Linked DNA regions of Xenopus tropicalis. The protein of the gene in region 1 interacts with the protein of each later gene in a biochemical or structural test. Links are inferred from orthologs where the notes say so. Each region holds a gene or a part of one and is shown on either strand. Other genes may lie near its edges.

Region 1 (3,656 bases):
GTGCCATAGTGTTTCCCTTAGACAGTACAGTATGAGGGTACAGCTTATTGTGTGCCCAGAACATTCCTTCTCTGTATATTTGTATTTATACATATGGGAGGGAGGTGCCATAGTGTTTCCCTTAGACAGTACAGTATGGGGGTACAGCTTATTGTGTGCCCAGAACATTCCTTCTCTGTATATTTGTATTTATACATATGGGAGGGAGGTGCCATAGTGTTTCCCTTAGACAGTACAGTATGAGGGTACAGCTTATTGTGTGCCCAGAACATTCCTTCTCTGTATATTTGTATTTATACATATGGGAGGGAGGAGCCATATTATTTCCCTTAGACAGTACAGTATGAGGGTACAGCTTATTGTGTGCCTAGAGCATTCCTTCTCTGTATATTTGTATTTATACATATGGGAGGGAGGTGCCATAGTGTTTCCCTTAGACAGTACAGTATGGGGGTACAGCTTATTGTGTGCCCAGAACATTCCTTCTCTGTATATTTGTATTTATACATATGGGAGGGAGGTGCCATAGTGTTTCCCTTAAGCTGGCCATACACGTGGCGATCTCACGATGTTTCGTACGACCGTCGGTCGCACGAAACATCGTCAGATCCGCCACACACCATTCAGGGCTGAATCGGCAGGTAAGGAGGTAGAAACAATAGGATTTCTACCTCCTTCTGCCGATTCAGCTCTGAAGGGAGAATTTTGGTCAGGCGCCTTCTATGGCGCCCGATCAAAATTTTCTAACTTGGCCGATCGGCGAGCCGACCGATTTCAGCAGCTTCCTGCGATATCGGTCGGCTCGCTGACATGCCATACACGCACCGATTATCGTACGAAACGAGGTTTCGTACGATAATATCGGTGCGTGTATGGCCACCTTTAGACAGTACAGTATGTGGGTTTAGCTTATTGTGTGCCCAGAACATTCCTTTTCTATATTCATATATATGGGCAGTCAAAAGCCTATCCAGTCCTTACCTTGCCATCAGACGCAGTATTGATCCTATAGTGGTACACTCTGCCCTCGTATCGTAAGGATATGGACCTCTGGCCTGGGCTGCTCTCACTTTCCCGCACCAAGAAGCTGCCATTAATCCCACTACTGAGCAGATATTCAGCAGCGTTGCGAGACACCGGCCCATGGTACCAGGAATGTTTCTCGGGGCTGTTCACCGGTGTGATGTAGTTACTGGGAACCCAACCTTGGCCATTTTTGGTTTGGGCCTCACACCACTCGCCATTGTGATTGTAGCCCAACACTCGCAGCTTCTCACCTATCGAAGTGAAGAGAAAATGTTGGATATTAGTCACTATTTATATAGCGCTATAGCACAGTGCATTACAGCGATTATCCATCATTCCCATCAGCCCCTGCCCCAGTGAGCTTACAATCTAAGGTCCCTATCACATTCCCATCAGCCCCTGCCCCAGTGAGCTTACAATCTAAGGTCCCTATCACATTCCCATCAGCCCCTGCCCCAGTGAGCTTACAATCTAAGGTCCCTATCACATTCCCATCAGCCCCTGCCCCAGTGAGCTTACAATCTAAGGTCCCTATCCCATTCCCATCAGTCCCTGCCCCAGTGAGCTTACAATCTAAGGTCCCTATCACATTCCCATCAGCCCCTGCCCCAGTGAGCTTACAATCTAAGGTCCCTATCACATTCCCATCAGTCCCTGCCCCAGTGAGCTTACAATCTAAGGTCCCTATCACATTCCCATCAGTCCCTGCCCCAGTGAGCTTACAATCTAAGGCCCCTATCCCATTCCCATCAGTCCCTGCCTCAGTGAGCTTACAATCTAAGGTCCCTATCACATTCCCATCAGCCCCTGCCCAGTGGAGCTTACAATCTAAGGTCCCTATCACATTCCCATCAGCCCCTGCCCCAGAAGAGCTTACAATCTAAGGTCCCTATGACATTCCCATCAGTCCCTGCCCCAGTGAGCTTACAATCTAAGGTCCCTATCACATTCCCATCAGCCCCTGCCCAGTGGAGCTTACAATCTAAGGTCCCTATCACATTCCCATCAGTCCCTGCCCCAGTGAGCTTACAATCTAAGGCCCCTATCCCATTCCCATCAGTCCCTGCCTCAGTGAGCTTACAATCTAAGGTCCCTATCACATTCCCATCAGCCCCTGCCCAGTGGAGCTTACAATCTAAGGTCCCTATCACATTCCCATCAGCCCCTGCCCCAGAATAGCTTACAATCTAAGGTCCCTATCACATTCCCATCAGTCCCTGCCCCAGTGAGCTTACAATCTAAGGTCCCTATCACATTCCCATCAGCCCCTGCCCAGTGGAGCTTACAATCTAAGGTCCCTATCACATTCCCATCAGCCCCTGCCCCAGAAGAGCTTACAATCTAAGGTCCCTATCACATTCCCATCAGCCCCTGCCCCAGTAGAGCTTACAATCTAAGGTCCCTATCACATTCCCATCAGTCCCTGCCTCAGTAAGCTTACAATCTAAGGTCCCTATCACATTCCCATCAGCCCCTGCCCCAATGAGCTTACAATCTAAGGTCCCTATCACATTCCCTTCAGTCCCTGCCCCAGTAAGCTTACAGTCGAAGGTCCCTATCACATTCCCATCAGCCCCTGCCCCAGTGAGCTTACAATCTAAGGTCCCTATCACATTCCCATCAGTCCCTGCCCCAGTGAGCTTACAATCTAAGGTCCCTATCACATTCCCATCAGTCCCTGCCTCAGTAAGCTTACAATCTAAGGTCCCTATCACATTCCCATCAGTCCCTGCCCCAGTGAGCTTACAATCTAAGGTCCCTATCACATTCCCATCAGTCCCTGCCCCAGTGAGCTTACAATCTAAGGTCCCTATCACATTCCCATCAGCCCCTGCCCCAGTGAGCTTACAATCTAAGGTCCCTATCACATTCCCTTCAGTCCCTGCCCCAGTAAGCTTACAGTCGAAGGTCCCTATCACATTCCCATCAGCCCCTGCCCCAGAGGAGCTTACAATCTAAGGTCCCTATCACACACAACACTAGGGGCTGTTTTATCAGGAGCCAATGAATCTGCCTGTATGTTTGGGAGGAAACCCACAAACCCGAATGGATAGTGGCCATTACTGAGAGGCCACAGGTTGGACTGCCCTATCTATATGAATAGCTGGACCTGTCAGTACTAAGGATGGCTCAGTGTCTGAAACTTCCATTCCAATCTGGCACAGGGATGCTGGCAGTGGCTACCTGATACCAACCCTATTATATACTGTATTACAAACAAACATGGACAGAACAGATTATCTGCCTTGGCTTCTCAGCTACACTGGCATAGTTCTGCCATCATTTCATGTAACGGTTCCATTAGGAACAGCCTGCCCAGGATTATTTATCTATACACATCCGTTACTGATCTTCCTGCTGCCCACTGAGCTTGGATACAGACACACAAACGTGCGACATCTCTAAACTATAAATAGCACTTGGAGCTTGAGTAAAGGGCAAGTAAAGAGCGGCCCTCCAGCCGCTGATAAGCTGCAAATCCCAGTACTACAGGAAAGAAGTTTCTTTATAAGGGGGATGTGGTTTAACAAGGGCTGGAGATCCTGCGGATGTTACTTAACAAGAGCCAACAGTTGTCCTTAAATTAGGGCTACGCTGTGGTTAGCAGCTTGTAAAATCTATGGCACCGT
Region 2 (3,656 bases), on another chromosome or scaffold:
CCTTGGTAAATTCTTGTCCCTGTACCCTGATGCCACCACTTTGGCCATGCTGAGAGAAGTTACAGAATGTTGTAAAACTGTAGAAACCTCAGGTTTGTCTACAAAGCTGAACCAGCCCACACTAGAGTAATGTATGGGGCAGATTTATTAAAATGTGAGTTGAGAGCTTAATACGTGAAAAACTCACCCACATTCTATTCATTCCAATGGGAATTTAAGAAGCATATTTTTCAATGGGTGAAAGTTAGAGTTAGTTTATATGTATTTTATATTTTCTATGTATTAAGTTCTAAACTCACATTTTGATAAATCTGCCCCTAATAGAGATGTAGCGAACTGTTCGCCGGAGAACTAATTCGCACGAAAATCGGGTGTTCGCAAGTTCGCAAGTTCGCGAACTTTTAGCGAAGTTCGCAATTTTGGGTTCGCCTTAGCTGGAGCCAAATTTTGACCTCTCACCCCAGAGCCAGCAGATACATGGCAGCCAATCAGGCAGCTCTCCCTCCTGGACCACCCCCGGACCACTCCCTTCCATATATAAACCGAAGCCCAGCAGCCATTTTACATTCTGCCTGTGTGTGCTTGATGAGTTAGCATAGGGAGAGAGCTGTGCAGGGGTTTGAGGGACAGTTTAGGTAGCTTTGCTGACTAGTAATCTACTTTCTACTGCTCTGTATGTAGCTGCTGTGGGCAGCTGTCCTGCTGATCATCTGCTATAACCCAATAGTCCTTGTAAAAGCAGTTTATTACACAAGTTTAGAAATGTAGTGTGATTTCTGTCCTTTACAGCACAAAATGCAATGCTGTGTCAACAAAGTATTTTTCAGAGACATTTTTGCCCTTAATCCCCCTCCTGCATGCCACTGTCCAGGTCGTGGCACCCTTTAAACAACTTTAAAATCAGTTTTCTGGCCAGAAATGGCTTTTCTAGGTTTTAAAGTTCGCCTTCCCATTGAAGTCTATGGGGTTCGCAAAGTTCGCAAAAGTTCGCACTTTTTGGCAGAAGTTCGCGAACGGGTTCGCTAACTTTTTTTGTGAGGTTCGCTACATCTCTAGCCCCTAAGTGTTTTGTAAGTAGAAAAAAGAATGCATCTGAAATAATATAATTGCTACCCTATTTTCCTGGTTAAGTGTGCCAAGTACCAAATGACTAGGGCAGAGCAACTGCTACTGATAACATGTACAGCCAATGTCCACATATGGATTAATTAATGTAACTGTGGCTTTAACACTGAATTGGGGGACTGTGCTGGGGACACTAAAAAGAGACACTGAAACAGGGCCTGTCACCAGGAAACAGGGACTAATAATAACATTGCACCAGTGACATAAAAGTAGTTTTTTCGTAAACATATTTCTACAAAAAGTTTTCACCAACCAAAACAATGCTTCCGAAGAGCAAACAAATGAATAATGGAACTTACTGCAGTTTTCTGGCTTCTTGTTCTCTCGGATAGTGGTTCTCTGGTTGGATGTCCGGAAGAGAGATGTCCAGTTGACGGTATGGTAATAGCACAGGTTACGGTTATCAGTGATATATACATTCCCAGCACTGATCTCTTTGAGTGACTGAAACTGTAGGGAGTTGAGGCTCTGCTGCTTTAGAATCAGCAGGGAAATTCCACTGTGGAAAGAGAAATGCAGAATTGCAGAGCATCCTGATACTAAGAGCTGGACTCTAAGCCATAAGAACAATAGCAGGACTCAAAAATACATTTTTAATTTGTACAGGACAAAAGTATCAAATGTTAATAAATCAGGCACTTTCACATATACATCTACATATTATATAATTATTGTTTAGCATTGTTTAGTTGGCAGGAGACTAAGTGCATTGTTGAGATTATACACGTGGTAAGGCACTCTCTCAGGTGTATAGAACGTGCATCTCTGCTGGTATGCCTGTTAATTTATGCCAGGATATGCTCACCACCAGTCACACATGTGTGTGTAGTCTAGTCTTTGCCCAAGCCGGCATATCTTTTTCTACAGAATATGCTAGAGCCCCTTTCAACACTGCACAGACTCTCCTTCTGTCTTGTTATTAAGCCTTGCCTGTATGTGGGAATGGCTTGAGAACAGACTCTGAGGTTTGCCACTGGCTCTGACTTTTGGCTGCATACCAACTACAACTTCTACTCCCTGGGACTCCTGAATCTCTGTGTCTTGCCCATCTGGTAACCTGTAGTGAGTTGGATCTCAGTAGATTAGCAGGCTGCAAAAGGGCTCAGATGAACATCAATGTTTGCAGGGATCTCTATCTATGCTGAAGGCGTCAGACTAGGAAATTTCCCTCTCTACAGGGTCCAGTTTTACAGGTAGATTCCACATGATATGGGCAGCATCTTGGACCCTTTCCACCACCACAATCAGCACCCATTTTAAACTAAAACACTTAAAGAGGCACCACTATTTATGGGTGGAAAAGGCCACAGCCAACCCTGCCCTTTTGACAGTGGTTGATACACAAAATTGCTAGCCTCAGACTTAAACCACTCCTGCCACCACTTACGCCAACACTCTCCCTGCTATTATTATTACCCCCCGATAAGCTAAGGGAGCTGCAAAAGTAAATGGTGACTGACTCCTCCTGTTCTATACCCTTCACTCTCTTCCTACAGCCTCCAGACAAACACCTTTTGAAATACATTTCCCACAACCCCTTGCAATTTAACACCTTCCTGGCTCCCCTAGCCCTGTTATGGTCCTGTCTCCGTCACTTCCTTGCGGTCCTCCAGGGCACCCTGAACAGCAATAAAGTAATTAACTTACAGTCTGTTCTAGTTTTTCCTTTTCCTTCCCTTTAGCCACAATGTTAACATAACATTACACAGATAATACTGAGATTAGATGGTGCTTTTTTAGATTTCCTATGTCTGAATTACCTTTTGGCATGTACATGGCTCACAGACATAGGATAATTACCCTCTGGTTGTTGCTTCTTTATTTTCAAACTTCGGTTACTAAGAGCTGTGGGGTGCAGCCGTAACTAATAAGAGGATAAGTGGATACCTGGCAAGTGTTTGATCCAGTGCTTCAACCTCAGTTTTTAAATGGAGAGGGTTGATGCTTACAGCCTTCCTTTAGCTTAGATTACTTTGCATCCTTCCATTACCCTGAAAAGCATCAACTACTAAAGGGGCTGCCTGCTATTTCAGAGAGTGCTGCCCTACGGGCGCTTTAAGTCAAAAACTGCTTTTGCCGTCACTTCTCCTGACAAGCATAGAATTGTATCATTGAATCTGCTGCTTCGTTTACTGCCATGGACGTTTCATAACTTCTCAGCTGAGGCCATCATTAAATGTGCCCCCTGCCCTTCCATCTCAGCCTCAGCTCATAGAGACAAATAATTATTCCCAGCACCGGTATACAGTATGCCATAACCTCTGTGGGCACCAGCTTTCTTCTGTCTGCTGTGCGGGGGACTGGAAACTCTGATACCATAATTGCTGCCTTTTGTCTGACGGCTAAAACCTGTAATCCTTAAACCCAGTATTTTGCAAACTGCTATGGAGAGCTCTCAGGAATTCCTTTATTTGGGAAATGATGACGTTTCTTTTCAGACATACATTTTTCCGTGTTCTGCTACTTTTATATAGTGAAAAGGATACCTTTAAAAAACAGCCAAAGTATAGTATATAACTGAAATAAATAAG

Evidence for each region.
Region 2: the proteins of abl1 (region 1) and erbb4 form a complex in vitro, tested with the Homo sapiens proteins (2 studies listed by BioGRID and IntAct, with this or other methods). The link is inferred for Xenopus tropicalis from reciprocal best matches to the Homo sapiens genes ABL1 and ERBB4.

Annotation. Positions count from the first base shown.
Region 1 is NC_030684.2:12,809,793-12,813,448, forward strand, and holds part of abl1 (tyrosine-protein kinase ABL1), read right to left. Parts: intron 1,278-3,656; coding exon 982-1,277; intron 1-981. UniProt on the Homo sapiens protein: Non-receptor tyrosine-protein kinase that plays a role in many key processes linked to cell growth and survival such as cytoskeleton remodeling in response to extracellular stimuli, cell motility and adhesion, receptor endocytosis, autophagy, DNA damage response and apoptosis.
Region 2 is NC_030685.2:57,168,647-57,172,302, forward strand, and holds part of erbb4 (receptor tyrosine-protein kinase erbB-4), read right to left. Parts: intron 1,625-3,656; coding exon 1,425-1,624; intron 1-1,424. UniProt on the Homo sapiens protein: Tyrosine-protein kinase that plays an essential role as cell surface receptor for neuregulins and EGF family members and regulates development of the heart, the central nervous system and the mammary gland, gene transcription, cell proliferation, differentiation, migration and apoptosis.